Linked DNA regions of Canis lupus familiaris. Each later gene encodes a partner of the first gene's protein in a complex. Links are inferred from orthologs where the notes say so. Each region holds a gene or a part of one and is shown on either strand. Other genes may lie near its edges.

Region 1 (8,265 bases):
CTCCACATTACTGCTTAGTGTCTCCCTGTGAGGGGGCAGGGTACAATCTCATGGGTACTTAAAACAGTTGGGGGTGGAAGGTCACTCCCTGGGGCTCAGCCTCTTTTAGGCACCCAGTTTCCCATAAGAATTGAGAGGAGTATGAATTGATATTCAGTAAAAGACCATTTCTACAGCCTGATTCACACCTGGAAAGCTTTGGATGGACCAGGGAGGAGGGTGTTGGGTACATCTGTGTCTGGATGGTGCCAGCTCCCCCGCCTGACTCTTGAATGGCCAACTAAGTAACCACAAAGTATAAGGCCATGTCCAGTCCAGAATTCCCTGGCTTCCTGCCAACGAAGCAAACATTCAAGAAACCCAGAGCTTAGGGGAAAACAGGCTTCCTTTACAAATCCCAGAGCTGGTCAACCTCAAGTTTCCTCTCAGGACAAGTTTCTATGGGGTCATATCCCAGGCGGATGAGAAGAGGGACAGGAAAAAGCCAAGGAAGAAAATGGACAGTTGGTCTCCCCAACCCAGAGGCTTCTCCTGAGCTGACCCCTGAGAGGAGGAGCATGCCTTCTCTCCTTAAGGCACTCAGGTCAGGGTAGAGGCAAACTTTACTGGTCCAATGCCTGGGACTGCTGGAGACAAGGCCAAGGGTGGTGGAGGCCCAGGCCTGCAAGCACTGGGGTATTCCCTGCCCCCAACCCTGACCTCCCTGCCGTCGTCTCAGGTCTGGGCAGCAGCAGAACCCAGTGTGGGAACCAGCAGACCCGGTGATGTCCCTGGAGATCCCTCTGCTGCCTTCCCTTATTCTCTGTGAGTTTTGAGAGGTTCATTTGCTGTTTCCCTAAAAAGTGATGGAGAGAAGAGAAGGATTATTCTACAGGCAGCTTAACAGTCCCTGAAACTGGTTCTCTCTAGCCCTTTTAAGGGCTGAGGTGGACTCAGAAAGGCCACACTACAATCTAGACCTCTCTACTGAGTTCCCACAGCCCACTTGGTCTCCCACCTTTCTCCTGCTGACATGTTATTCCTCCTGGTTCCTCACCTTATGGAGTGCCTACCTTTTCCCAGTTGCCCAGGTTCTGGGCAGTGGCAGGCAGCCTCCTAACTGGCCTCTTGCCTTCTCTACTGGACCCCTTCATCTTCTTGCCATAAAGCGGCAGTTATAAAGGCAAGTTAGATCAGACCATAGCCTTGCTGAGTCCTTTAATAGCTTCCTGAGATTTAAGGTCAGGTTTCCTGGTCCCTCCATGCCTTCACGTTTGAGCTATAGTGTCACAGCCTTGTCTATCCTTCCAATGTGATACCCTTGTTCTTCCCCTGGGTCTTGTTCTATCCATTCTCTCTGCCTGGTACACTTAAGCACTCCCTAGCCTTTGCCCTTGGCTTAGCTGTCTGTTTTGGGAGAAAACTGACTGCCCTCACCCCCTGCTCTACTGCCCTTTCCTTTTATTATTTTTTATTTTTTTGCTGTCCTCCTTTTTAAATCTTGGGCTCCCCCTGTAAAGGGCCTGGGTTCCTTTTCTCTGGACCTAGTGTGGCCCCTGTCATGGTAGGAGCTCAGAAATTGGTTGAATGAATGCTCTTGATTAGGGAGTTGATGTTTTACAGATGAGGCGGCTGACCCTGATGAGGCCAGTCAATGCAATAAGGACAAAGGCTGGGCAGCCCGGGTGGCTCAGCGGTTTAGCGCCGCCTTCAGCCCAGGGTGTGATCCTAGACACCCAGGATCAAGTCCCATGTCAGGCTCCCTGCATGGAGCCTGCTTCTCCCTCTGCCTGTGTCTCTCATGAATAAATAAAACCTTAAAAAAAAAAAAAAGGACAAAGCCTCCTGCCTTTCTAAATTGAGGGGCTTGCAGTAGAGTTGAACTCAACAGACCTGCTACTTTATCTCTGAGATTTTGACAGTAGCACCACCAGCCCCACAGGTTGCTGAATAGCCTATCAATGGGCTGTTAAATTGGTATCATTCGAAGCCTGAGCTCCACTTGCAAGCCTTTGAGCTTGCTGCAAAGGCCACTAAACTGGTGGACTCCTGCCCTGAGAACTTCCTAGCCCTGTCCCTGTTCCCAGCATAGATGTGTCTTCTGCCTGCCAAGCATGGGGTTGACATGGGCACAGATTTACTTACCACGAAGTGAAATGCGTGGAGCCATCAGGTGTGGATCCGTTCTGGCCGCCCAGACCTGGGGGCAGGAACACATCCAGAGCTGCAGCAGGCTTGGGGTGGGAATCTGAGCAGGTATCAGCCCAGATCAAGTTAAAGGCCAGTGATGTTGTTTGATGGAGTCTTGTGGGGGCCTTAAAGGGACTAGTGGTATTGTCTGATGGAGGTTCAAGGGAGCGGTTAAAATGTGATGGGTGGTCCGGGATTTCTGGCATGAAATGGTATGTTGGCATGGGTCAGGGTAGAGCATAAAGTTGTGATGAGGTTCTTAGGAGACCAGTGGTAGTCTAGGGAGTTCTGGGGAGCCCAATGATGCAGTCCGGTGGGGATGGGGAGCCTCACCTGGGCGGTGATACAGCCCTGTTACCGTGCTCCCGTAGAACCCCCACGCCAGCTGGATGCCCAGGAGACTTATCACCAACCACAGTAGCAGCAGCTTGAAGAGGGTAACGCGCATGTCCTGCGCCTCCCACTCCCGCAGGAACTCGCTGCCCAGGGTGCCCAGTGTGCCCAGCACCAAGGTCGGCAGAGACTGCAAGGACTGCCCAGACCAAGGCTCCGCCATGACTGGCCCATGCCCCACCCGGGACTGTCACTATAGCACCCACTGCGCAGGCGTCTGGTCTTCCGGGCCAGGCCCGTTAATGCGCACGCGTAAACCAGGCAAGGCGAGTCTACTTCGCTTGCGCGAAGAGTTGGCAGTTTGGGGAGGAGTACTAAAACCGCGCACGCGCACCTAGCCCCACCCTGCTTACTTAAACGATGAGTGAGACGAGGAGCATAAAATAGCAACCAGGTCTTTTATAGCCCCGGAGTTCCCGTGATGCCCCACGCGGCTGCAGTGATTGGTTAAGCGCCCTGCTATTAGGGCGTGGACGCGCTCCTGAGCAATCGTGGCTGAGCTGTAAGTGTGCGCGCGTGCGCGGGGCCGCGGCTGGGGCCGGCTCGAGCCCGCTGGCACACGGGGGCGCGCACGTCGCTCCCCGCCCTCCCGCCGCCGACCGCCCTCGCTCGCGCTCCCCGCCCGCCGCCCGCCGTCCTCCGTCGGTTCTCTCGTTAGTTCGCCGTGGTCTTCTCAGCCACCCGCCCCAGTCTCCGAGCTTCCGACTCGCGGACAGGCGCACTCGGCGCAGAGAGGCCGGACTGCGAGTCGTCGCCTGAGGTGAGCCGAGAGGGTTCTCTCCTGGCGCCGCGGCGCCCCGGGCCCGCCCGCCGCTCTTCCGGCCTCCCGCCCGCCCGCCGCCCCGCCGCGGCCGCGCCCCACCTGCTGCTCTCAACCGGCTGCCCCTGGGCCCCGGCCCCAGCCTTCTGGCCGGGGCCCCGCTCCCCAAAGCGACGGCCCCGCCCGCGCAGTCCCCGGAAGCGCGCCCCGCGGCCTCCCGCGCCCCTTCCCCCGCCCGGCCAGGCCTGGTGGAGCCCAAGACGCCCGCCCGCGGTCCCTGGCTCTTCCTCTCTCACGGCCGTGCGGGGCAGGGCGGGGGCTTCGAGCTGGGCCCGGCGACCGCGCGGTGCAGCGGGTCCCTGCGAAGCGCGCGTGGCTGTCGGGAGTTGAAATGGGAAAGAAACTCTTTACAACTCCATCTTGGCTTTTGCATTGAATATGAAACATGAATCACCGTTTTATACGGTGTGAAGTCCAGATATGTTTTGGGTAGATTTTCTTTTTAAATGCAGTAGTTTCGGAGATTGTGTAAGTAAAGTAGTGTTGAAATCTTACGGGTTAGGATTCTTGGGTATTGAGAAGGGAATTTTCCAGTTGAAAACACTTTTTCATGATTTAAACTCTATTGCATTGAAATAGAGTATTAATTTGCAACTTTGCTTAGTCTAAGTTATTACCTTGATTGGAATCCCCTAAACATCTGTCTTTAGTTACCGATTGAACCCAGTTACAAGCTGTCTTTATTAAATAGCACTGTTTGCACTCAAATCGATTTGGTCAAGACAATGTGCAGTAGTTTATGGTGGAAAATTGGTATCCTTTTTTATCACAGTGTTTTCCACTTGTGTTTTTTTAATGGTCCTGATTTAAAGTTTTTACCAATATTGGTGATATGTTTCCTTCTTTTGGTGTTTGTCTTTGAAGTAAATGTTTTTTTATTCAGGTATGCATTTTATAGCCCTCCCTGCCAGATCTGAAGGGGAAAAATACTTAAAATTCTTTAAAATGTTATTTGTGGTGAGAATTTTTCAGTCATTTAATTTTTCAACCACTAAATGGTTGAAAATGGTACATATATGTACCATTGCAGGATTGTCACTTTAGACATGGCTAAATTGGTAGAGATACTGGTATGAGCGTTGGGCGTGACATTGTTTGGCCTGAAAGTACAAGACTAATTCTTAATTGTGAAGGAAAACTTAAAGATCTTTTGATAAATTGTTTTTTTGGTAGTTCCATCTACTTTTGTAGATGAGTGGTGGCCCTTGGGAAGCTAACAAAATAGAAGAAAACTCACTTTGAGTCAGAGTCTAGGCTTAGAGTTATGGCTTCTTTTCTCATAAAAAATTTGTACTGGAGGGAAGAAGAGAATAGAAATCCACTGACTTTTTCGTAGATCTAGAATTTTAGACCCAAAGGTATCTTCAGGACTTACGGTCTAACCCTATTTGCAGATGAGGAAACTGAGTCTCAGAGACTTACATAAATTTCCTAAGGTCATTTTTCTGGTCAGGTGCAGGCCAGAACTCTGAGGTATTCTTGTACTCTGAAACAGCTTGCTTAGAGTTAAGTAAAATTCAGGACTTATTTCCAGTATTTTCTTCTTTTACATATTACTGATTTTATATATGTTTTGAGAACCTGAAAAATTCATTTCTAAACAAACTCAGTTCTTTAGCTTTCACTGCGCTCTCCTCCCCGGAACTGGATGGTCCTACAGCAGTTGATTGAAATACATAAATGAATATACAGAGTCCCTGCTTGGCCTAGTTTTAGCTTTAGGTGTTTTGGGGGTTTTGTTCGCTTGTTTGTTTGTTTGTTTTTTTTAGAGATTTATTTAACCATTTGAGAGAGAGCACGAGCATGGGGAGGTTTTGAGGAAGAGAGAGAAACCCTAGCTGACTCCTCCCTGAGCTCGGAGGCCAACTTTGAGCCGAATCTCACAACCTGGAGATCATGATCTGAGCTGAAACCAAGAGTCTGATGCTCGACTGAGTGTACCACCCAGGGGTGTTTGGGTCTTCTTGAGGGAACAACTTCTTCCAATGTGAGGCCCAGACTCCCCTGCTCCAAAGCCCAACATAATTAGGTCAGACCAAGATGTTATAATGTGACTGAGGGCTCTTTTGCCTATTAATTTGAGGTGGGATGGTGAGAAACTGCACATATTAAGTAAATAGTTCTGTGTATGTGTGGCAGTAGTTTTATCGTATTCTCTTGTCCTGGTTGTTCTTAGAGGAGAGTGAAAACAGGTAGATATTGAGGTGGAATTCAAGCTGTGACAGGAGGAGGAGTTGCTACTTTGGGTTGTTTTAGTTCTAGAGCTGAGAGATTTATGTTAACTCTCAGAAGACAGACTGATACTTCAGCTTCTAAGAGAACGAATTTGGGCTTGCTGAGCTTCTCTAGACAACACTTTGGGTTTAATTGTATTTGGCTGCTAGTGATAATGATAAATGGTACATAATCACTGGATTTTAATCACATATATTTGTACTTTAAAAGGTACTTAAAAGTTATTTTACCTTCCTGTAGCACTTAGTTTTTAGTCTTTCATGTCCCTGGCTAGAGGAATTTTGTTTGCACCTACATATTAATGTAACTAAATTTTAAACATGTGTGTTAATGTGTCTTACTATACTGTGCTCTTTGGGGATATGCTCACTGTTAAGTACTTGTGAGATTAATAAATTAAAATTTCCAAGACAGTTTGAAGTTAATAATTACTGTAAAATTCCTATTTCAAGTGTTTCTATTTCAAATGACTCATTTTTGATCTGTGGTGCTATAGTATTATGTGAAGGCCCTGTATACTCATAATTATGGTAGTCATGTGACAGAAAAATCAGCCGTCGAAGCTGCTCATTCTGGGTGTTGGTCTGAATTTATTGGTGCTTCCTCTAGAGGACTGTGAATAATATTTTATAGTTAAAGTGGTCAAAATACGAGATACACTCAATTATATTGCAGCCGGTTTGCAGTTTGTCCCAAAATGAGCTTGTTTTGTTTTTAATGAAGAGAGTGGGTAAAGTAAATATGTTAAAGAATGTTTATAATAGTGTCTCACTATTCAGGTGAAGGTAAAGAGGAGAACATAAGTGACCAAAATATTTGGAGTGGAGTAAAGGTAGAAGTGGAATGTAAAATGAAATTAGAGAGGTGGGTGGGAACCAGATCATGTCGGGCCTTTAGGATATGGGAAGTTCTTTGGGATTATTCTGAGATGAGAAATCATTAGATGTTTTTTAGCAGGAGAATAATTTGATCTGATGTTAAATAACTAGAATCACTCACCAAGAGTAGGGGTAGATCTGAGTTCATTCTGACTTTTTTTTTTTCTCCAAAGATTTTTATTTATTCGAGAGAGAGAGACAGAGACATAGGCAGAGAGAGAAGCAGGCTCCATACAGGGAACCCAATGTGGAACTCGATCCCGGGACTCCAGGATCACACCCTGGGCAGAAGGCAGACGCTTAACCACTGAGCCACCCAGGTGTCCCTCATTCTGACTTTAAATAGTAAACTAATATTGATCATTTCTGACAAAAACATTATAAGCATTTCCTAATACTATTTTCCTTGACCTAATGACTTCACCCTGATTTTTGATTTTCTGAGTTTGTAATTTCTCTGTAATGCCTATATTAATAAGAATGTATAATTAAATAAAGCAAGTTATTCAAATGTTTGTGGTAGTCTAGGTGGTAGGTTACAGGTGTACATTGTAAGATTCCTTTAATTTAGCTGTATGTTTGAAAAGTTTTATAATTTTGGAAAATTAATTTACATAGGATTCATTTGCTTTTAAAAGGGAAATATTTAGAAAATATTCATAAGATATCATTGGTTGTGAATATTAACTGAAGGAAGCTAAGCTTGTATAAATGTGATAAATTTGGTGGTATATTAGTCAGAAATTAAATTCTACACTTTTTCTCTCTCTTGGATTCTAAATTATGTCTTGGAACTTTGGGCAAGCCTGTTTACATCCTATGTTTTGTGTTGTTCCTTGTAAAATGAATAGACATAATTCCTGATATATTTATATTTTTACAGTGCCTACATCTGAGAAGTTAAAGGCACTTGTAGAACTTCTGCCACACAGCCCGTGGGTCTTGCAGCACATTTGTAAGGTATGTAAATAGAAACTTTTTTTACTCCCTTTTTCCCATGGAAGACATGATTATATATTAATGTAAGTTCTAGGGAAATGTGAGTGCATTATTGTTAATGATTCTCTTTAGTAATCTTGAGAGGTTTTTTTTTTTTTTTAATTTTTATTTATTTATGATAGTCACAGAGAGAGAGAGAGGCAGAGACACAGGCAGAGGGAGAAGCAGGCTCCATGAACTGGGAGCCCGACGTGGGATTCGATCCCAGGTCTCCAGGATCGCGCCCTGGGCCAAAGGCAGGCGCCAAACCACTGCGCCATCCCTTGAGAGTTTTTTTTAATCTTACTCCATACGTTTTCTCTCTGGTCTTCTTATCTCTCTATGAAGTATTCCTCTAGCTTCTTTTTTCACTTCTAAGTCTGCCTGCTTTCCTTCCGAGAAGGGTGGGGAGGGGCAAAAGGAGAGAGAAACCCCAAGCAGGCTCCACGCCCAGTGCACAGCCCAATGTGGGTCTTGATCCCACAACCCCTAAATGATGGCCTGAGCCAAAACCAAGAATTGGACCCTCAACCAAGCCACCAGGTGCCCTAAGATATTTCTTTTTCAGATGCTATATTTTTTAAGGAGATTCACTGTGTTATACACATACCTCTTTCACTTCTGGGCCATTACTCCATCTGTTTTTCATCTTTAAGTTTTCATTATTTTAATAGTTTGGTTCTTATACAGTTTATCCAGAGCTTGTGCTTTGGATGTATCAAATTATCATTAGCAAATGAGCCAGCTGGAGAATGAAGATCAGAGGACAATCTTCCCTCTTACCAGAGGGGT
Region 2 (7,621 bases), on another chromosome or scaffold:
ACAAGCAGATCGTTGTTAAGGACAAGATACTGGCGGAGCTGGAAGAGAAACCTAAACGTTCCTTAAACAAGGGCCGAAGAATTACATGAACTTACCCTGTGCTGTTTGAACTTAGGGTGAAAGTTCTATTGTTTACCTTGCTCCTGATTAAATGCCCGCGGATGATGACGCTGGTGTCAGGGGGCCACAGGCGTATCACCCTGTGAGTTGGGAGTGACTACCCCCTTTCCAGCCCCACCTAACCATTCGGTTTCTACCTGCTTCTCTTACGAGATACAGAAAGTCAAGTCCCAAGCTTGTCTTACTAGCTTCTGCTTCTGCTTCTAAAATGTTTACACCCAATTCTGATTTCGTTCATGCTGGGCCTGCAACTCAAAATATCAGTCTAATTTATAGATGAGGTCCAACGAATGGTCCAAGTTGGTCTACTTAAAAACACAGGTCAGACTTGAAAAGGCAGGAAATAGGAATGTGGACAGAGATGAGCTTGTCAAGTCGTAGTGGTGTTTACAGGAGGAGTAGGGAATCATCATTACTTGCGATGAGAGTGCCGGGGAAGAGGAAAGTCACATCCCGATTACCCCCAGGGTTCAGAGGGCACTACTGAAAGGTGTGAGCAGTGGAGGAACACGCGTTGCGTATTAACAGAACTGGAAGATTTGACCAATGATTTCGTTTTAGTTGGCAAAAATACTCCAAGACGTGTATACCCGATGCACAAGGAAAACCACAGAAAGCCAACGTAACTGACGGAGTTCTCCAGTTACGATTCTGAAACATCTGTCCCCTGCAGGGTGCTGCCCATTCTACAAGTCACTCTAGAGCAGCCAGCCAGCAACCCCTTGCCCACAGTTTCCAGTGTATGTTCTGGTCTGCAATTTGTAAGGTCACGCACCAGTGTGGAGAAAGCTCCGGCAGCGAAGTCAGAGGAAGTGCTTCTGGAGCTGGTTTGAGCAGCCCTGCCTTCTCCACCACCTCTCTCTCCGCTCCACGCGTGGCTCTTCTTTTAACTCAAAGAGCCCTTTGGCACCATCAGTGCAAAATTAATATTCGAGTTAAACCTCCAGGTACTAAAATTTTACTGGCCTTCTATTCAGCAGTACCCGTGGCTAATGAGAGCCATGGTTCAACTCAGTAGTGATTCCGTTAGATAACCTTCCTAGACTCTTGCCCCCGCTCCCAACCCACCCCTCCTCAGCAGCCCCCACCCCTGCCACCAGTTGAAGCATCTTTGTTTGTTTTCTTCCTTCCTGCTCAATCTGCAGGGATAATTTTCCACAAGTGCCGAAGTCTAATGTATCATCATAAAAATGAAACAATACCAAGAATAACAAATTTATAGCCAAGAAAATAAAATTTGCTTTCCTCCCCCTCCCAAGTCCCTCCCCTCAATAGAAAAAAAGACAAAAGAAGAAAACACACCCATTTTCAAGTGCCTGCTATTTAGTACATTGAGGATTTCTGTTAATTGCAGGTGGAGCCCAGCTACAGAGAAGAGGTGCTTGCCTCAGGTGGGAGGAAGCCCACCTAACTCTGCCCACCTGGGCAGCACACAGCTCGAGTCCTCTGTGCACAGGAACCACGGGCATGCTGTGCCTTCAAGGAGGTGCTCCTCAACGAAGACGCCTACTGGACAGCAGGGGCCACGGGACAGACTTCAGTGAAGGCTGGATGCTCCTCCCTCCCCCGGCTTACCCTCTCTCCACCTCTCTACCCAGCCTCCCAATACCTCATCCGGAACTCTTGGCTTCAGGGGCAACTGACCCTTGGGTGTCCTAAATACAAAGGGCTAAAACTCTCACTACTCAATTAAAACAAAACATGGCAAAATAAAAATTAAAATGTGCTTTCAAATACGGAATGAAGTCAAATAAATACATCTGATTTTTCTCTTCTTCTTAAGTCTAAGTAAAATTTCATATCCTACACCCAAAGCTCTATACATTTGGTTTTTGTTCTGAATCAAAATGAATTTCCGATGGTGAGGAGCGCAGAGCGAGAGAGTCAAGGCTCCCTCACTGACAGGCTAGTGCAGCTGCCGGACTTGGAAGAACTAGTCCCGCTCTGGGCGCCCAGGCACGCGGCGACCCCTGGGGTGGGGGGTTCACAGGCAGACCCTCCGTCACACACTCTCTCTGCGTCCACGCTGCAGCCAGGATGGGTGATACAAGGCCGGTGCTCAGAGTCCAACAACCTTCAGTCACCTCCAGGACACGTGGTTCTAACTCTTATCTGGGAAGAATAATGATAGGCAGAGATCAAATTAAGAACAGACTAATAGAGAATACCTAGGCACCTGTGGGGCTTGTTGTGTGTGTCTTTCTGGATTAGAAAGGCCTCATTCAAGGGGCGCCTGGGTGGCTCAGTGGTTGAGCGTCTGCCTTTGGCTCAGGTCGTGATCCCGGGGTCCTGGGATCGAGTTCCACATTGGGCTCCCTGTAGGAAGCTTGCCTCTCCCTCTGCCTATGTCTCTGCCTCTCTCTGTGTCTCTCGTGAGTAAATAAATAAAATCTTGAAAAAAAAAAAAAAAAAAGAAAGGCCTCATTCACTCATTCAAAACCATGTGAGCCAACAACAGAGTACAAATTGCTGCACTGAGCACAGATCCATTTGCGATCACGGGGAGATGGCGCTCTCGCTATTAGGACAGATACCCACGTCCAGCAAGGCCTGGCGGGCCCAGAGCCTCCCTCGGCAGCACTGGCAGGGTCTCAGGGATCTAGGATTTATCAGGCTTACCCCTGCCCTGTTTTCTGCTTTTGCAAAGGTGAAGTAAAGCCTGGGGTGGGTAGAGGAGAGGGGTGGGTAGAGGGGAGGAGTGGGGAGCCAGGGGGCCGGGGAGGACGGCACAAGAACTGACAACCACAGCTTCTCTTAGAAAAGGAAGAGCAGAGTCAGCAAACAACAGCCTCTGCTTGATATATGATGTTTGGAAACAAGTGGTTTTTTAAAGACAGGAAAGAAATGGAATCTCAGAAGGTTTCCACTTTAAAGAATAATAAATCATTCTGTTGGACGTACTGTTGGCAGAATGATTCTAGAGTCTGGAATCCACGATTTTCACATACCTGAGTGCTTGTCTGTGAGGGCTGATCCAGCCAGCCTTTGGCAAAGAATGCTGTAACTCTCTTCCACCTTCTGTAAGATAAAACCCACGGGGTTCTCATTTGAACATCATAATTTTCCTTTATGAAAACAGGGAAGAAACCTTTTCATATTGCCAGTACATGCTTCTAGATTTCAACATGAATGTTGTTAAAGATTTTGTTAGTGAGGAAGAAAAGTGAACCGCATTCCTTTTACCTGTCTCTCCCTTGAGTAACCTATAACTTCTTCAGGTTAAAGATGATTCCCCCACCCCCGGAGGCACCCTGAAGACGGCCCCACGGGGGACAGGAGCTGCATTAGAGCCAGCTGGCCCACGATGGCCTTCTAGATACCTCGTCTGCCCTTGGATGACACTCCTTATAATCACATGAAGAAGGGAAAACCTATCACATAAAGCTAAATGAAAAACTAAGGGAGACCATTCTTCAGCTCAAAGGCTTCTAAGAACACTTTTAATGTTGTCCCTAAGCCTCTAACTAAACCAAGTCATGAAAAAAATGTTTAGGTGCTGGCAGCTGTGTCTACCGATGACAAACTTTAAGTCCTTTTCTCAGAAATCACCACATAAGTCAGCTTTGAAATAGTGGCCTGTACAGTGACAACTTCAACTCCAATTCACAAAAATCCTTTCGTGCGCCGGTCTCCAGATCACAGGGGCCCCTGGAGCCAATTTCTGTGTGTTAGAGTGTCTGGGAAACTACCTGTATCGCCCTAACAATTCATAGATAATTCATAAGTGAAAGCATTTTCTAGAGGAGACACGAGCCCTGCCCATGCCACTGGCTTGCTGTTCACGTTTTCTCACAGAGGCCAGCCAATCATCCCAAATATACTTGGGTTCTTACACGGAGAAACCCACACAAGCAGGCAGTCTACAGCCCTACGGTGTTTCTGTTCTTGTGATCTGCAACCAGTTGAACCATACTGTTCTCAGCTTTCTATCCAAGACTACTTATGGGTAATGGTCAAGGAGAACAGCAAATCTAGAACCTGAACAAGCTCACCGGCATCAACATTTTGACTATCCTCTACCTCCCTCCTCTCTGTTTCTTTACCCAAGCCACGAGGACGCTGAGGTCTGAGGTACCTTTAGGTGTTCTAGGTCAGCCTCGATCTTACGAATGTACTCCATGATCTGGCTTTGTGAGTCTGCACAAGAGGGGGGGCTCTGGATCTCAAAACAGGAATCCTCCATAGCTCCCCAGCGCTGCTGGACCAGGAATTCTGGGGTGAATGGTGAAGCCGCCCCATCGGAATGGGCATGCTGGGGAGAGTGCTGCTGTGGGCGGGCACAGTCCATGGCGGGGATGCCTGCCGTGGGCGGCGGGGGAAGCGAGGAAGCAACCTCCTCGTCCGTGGAGCTCTCCTGCACCGCTTCATAGCCATCAAGAATCAAATAGTTTCCTGTTGACAGACACAACAGCTTGATGAGCTTCACGCTGCCATCCTCACATCAAAAAAGAGAGATGAGGTGATATGCTGACAACCTTAAAAGCCATTAAAGATGGAGGAAAGCCATCAATTCCCCACTTCCCAGGTTCAGTTTTAAGTACAGCAGAGTCTTCTCACTTCAGGTAAAAGCTAAACTTAGCAAACTTTCATATTTCCGAATAATTTCACATTAGTGAGCATCTTAAAAGTTACAAGCTGGAAACTACCAAGTCCCCGTATGATCCTGCCACCACTTCCCCGGCCACAGAGCTCTCATGCCTCACCTCCCACCATCTTCCCCCCTCACCCCTGCATGCCGTCACTACCAAGCACCTGCTGGCAGCCTGGGTGCCCTGGTTCTCTGCTGGACCCCCCTGCTCCCGCACACCACACAGCTTCTTCCCTCACTCCCCAGGTGGCTCTTGCTCTCATGCTACCTCACTGAGGCCCTCTTCCCTGATCACCCTGTCTGCCCCTGGGTCTGACTTATGTGCCCTCCTAATTCCTCTGACATCTGTTTACTTATTTACCATGACTGTTTCCTCACCAGTACTTAAGCTTCACAAGGACAATGGATTTTTTTCTGTGTTTTACTCGATGCCGTATTTCCCAGCACTCAGGATGGGGTCTGGCACTGAGCAGATTCAGTAATTATTTACTGCGTCAAAGAATAAACCCTACACATACACATACACACAGAGGATGACGTGTGGGTACCCAAACAACATCCATCTCAGCACATCACTTAGCTAATAACAATCAAAATCAAAGTTTGACTGTGAAAGAAACTTGCCTGAGATGCGCAAATTAACATCCTCTTCCTTCTTAACTGCTCCATCACCTTCTGATGGATTATCATCACTATGTGCTTCACGGGCATCAAAAAAGTGCTCTCCACTCTCATCAAGACTCCCTTCTGGCTCTGCAGGAGGCATCTCTGGGGTCATAATCATGTGGTCCATTACTAAAATGTTACTTGCCTGGCTCTCTTGGAATGCCAGGACCACTGAATCCCGTGGAGCAGAAGATTCAGTGGAAGTCCGTGGACTGTAACAAGTTGAAATGTCACCAGTTCCAGTTCTAAAGGGCATCTGTCCTTCACCAGGAGGATAGGCCTTACTGTTTTCAGAGTTCTGGGTTCCACTGTCTGTCTGCACCCCTGAAGACGCCGTCCTGTATCTCGGGAAATGTGGCCAGTCTTCCTGAGCACTCTTCTCGGTCAAACCCAGCTGTTGGACGAGCAACTGCTTCAGCAAGCCCACTGGAAGATTTAGGAAGGGAGAGGAAAAAATCACATTCACAACAGCACCCGCAGACTGCCAGGACTAAATTAGTTTGAGGAATTAACCATTATTTCTAAAAGTAAGTACCTTTTAGTAACATAAAGTCGAAATATTAATTTCGTACAATCATTTCTTGGTTTTGCATTGAAAACTGAAATAAAGCGCTATCGAGAGCAGATTTAATATTAAACGAGACTTGGAAAGATGTAAGCCCTCTGAATGAGGAGGCACTCCTAAATAACCAATACCAGGCCTACCTCTCTTTTTTTTTTTTCCTCCACGTAACCTGAATGATACCCTTAAGGAACTTCTTAAAAGGATGTTAAAAAGCTGTGTTATGCTAGAAAAGAAGCCCTGAAAAAGTTTGCTTTTTCCAGAAGCAGACAGTATATAACACAGGCGTTATTTTTTCCAACTTATTAGACACACAGAACATTTATTTTATCATTTATAATAATCCATGGAATCCTTAAGTGGTGAAGAAAATAAAGCTGCCCTGTAGTAAGATCGACTTTCAGGGGCTCCTGGGTGGCTCCGTGGCTAAACGTCTGCCTTCAGCTCAGGTCATGATCTCAGGTCCTGAGATCGAGTCCCCTGCTAAGCAGGTAGCCTGCTTCTCCCTCTCCCTCTGCCTGTCACTCCCCCTGCTTATACTGTCTCTCTATCTGTCAAATGAAAACAAAATTTACTTTCAATGACTTGAAAGCATGCATACTTCTGAAGAAGAAAATGTTTTTTAGTTTTTAAAAATGACCTCACAGATGAGAAACTTCCTTGGGCTGTTAAAAAGAGAAGCGACTTAATTTTAAATGGGCAAGTGTATGCTGTGAGGCCACTTAGCCAATGACAGAGTCACTGCGACAGTGTCAAACTCTGAGAAATCATTCTGACTGCTCATTCAGGAGAATTGACAATAAATTAGATCTTAGAGAACGTGACCGATTCTGTACTTTTAACTCTGGCTTAATTTCTATCTCCTGTTTCTTTTGACAAACAGTCTCCACACAGGTCTGGACATTAGCCCTCTGTTCTTTGGTTCTACCAATACTCCCTGAGAGATGCTATGCGTTCCTACGGCTCTGACACTCAAATCCATCCTTTCCCTACCCTCTTGCCAAAGCTCTAGTCTTAAGATTCCAACTTCCTGCTTGTTACTTCCTCTTAAATAGCCTGCCACTTTTTAAATTGATCCCATAGTCTCTGGCAAACAAAGAAAAAGGCGGGGGAAGAGTGCAGCAGTGACCAGTGGTGGTCCTTCCTGACTCTGATTTCTGACAAGAACACTGAAATTATCTAAATACTGCCCTTTTCTTAGCCCTGATACCAACCAAGCCAATCGTTTGAAGTATTTCTTGACTCCCCACTTTATTTATTTATTTATAATAATAACTTTATTTTTTATTGGTGTTCAATTTGTCCCCACTTTATTTTTATTCCTCTGATACTGTTCTAGTCCAAACCGTTTTAGCCTCAAGCCCAGGCTACTACAGCGGCTTCACCCTAGCCATGATTTCCTGGCCTCCTCTCACTCCAACCCTTCTACCCTCTCAGCCAGAGCCATCTGTTCTTACTGGTCACACCCTAGCTTAAAAACTTCAAATGGTTCTCTGCAGCTAGAGAAACCCTTCTCAGCCTTTCCCCACTGCCAGTACACCTGTGAGATGGGACAGGCTCCCATTTGTGATTTTCAGCCAGCTGGAGAGGGAAGGGGAGGGGGTAGCCAAGGGCAAGGGCCACCCATCTTGTGAGTATGCGGGTGTGTGTGTCATGGAGGGAAAGAGAAGAAGGGGAGGAGGAGG

The links.
Region 2: the proteins of RHOA (region 1) and ARHGEF12 are in contact, whole or in part, in a crystal structure (PDB 1X86), measured with the Homo sapiens proteins. The link is inferred for Canis lupus familiaris from reciprocal best matches to the Homo sapiens genes RHOA and ARHGEF12. Residues at the interface, in NP_001300870.1 of Homo sapiens: Arg5, Lys7, Thr19, Lys27, Val33, Tyr34, Pro36, Thr37, Val38, Phe39, Glu40, Asn41, Val43, Asp45, Glu54, Trp58, Asp59, Ala61, Gly62, Gln63, Tyr66, Asp67, Arg68, Leu69, Leu72, Ser73, Asp76, Glu97; in NP_056128.1 of Homo sapiens: Pro766, Asn768, Gln770, Glu790, Val791, Glu794, Thr798, Ala801, Cys888, Gln891, Pro892, Lys899, Arg922, Arg923, Leu924, Gln925, Lys927, Asp928, Pro931, Thr932, Met934, Gln935, Thr938, Lys939, Leu942, Leu943, Asn946, Arg968, Leu971, Asn972.

What each region holds. Positions count from the first base shown.
Region 1 is NC_049241.1:40,228,398-40,236,662, forward strand, and holds the start of RHOA (transforming protein RhoA), read left to right. Parts: upstream 1-3,153; 5' UTR 3,154-3,322; intron 3,323-7,378; 5' UTR 7,379-7,455; intron 7,456-8,265. Other genes in the region: TCTA (T-cell leukemia translocation-altered gene protein), read right to left, coding at 796-835, 2,125-2,227, 2,503-2,725. UniProt on the Homo sapiens protein: Small GTPase which cycles between an active GTP-bound and an inactive GDP-bound state.
Region 2 is NC_049226.1:13,545,972-13,553,592, forward strand, and holds part of ARHGEF12 (rho guanine nucleotide exchange factor 12), read right to left. Parts: intron 5,801-7,621; coding exon 5,333-5,800; intron 4,513-5,332; coding exon 4,196-4,512; intron 3,139-4,195; coding exon 3,069-3,138; intron 2,233-3,068; coding exon 2,222-2,232; 3' UTR 1-2,221. UniProt on the Homo sapiens protein: May play a role in the regulation of RhoA GTPase by guanine nucleotide-binding alpha-12 (GNA12) and alpha-13 (GNA13). Acts as guanine nucleotide exchange factor (GEF) for RhoA GTPase and may act as GTPase-activating protein (GAP) for GNA12 and GNA13.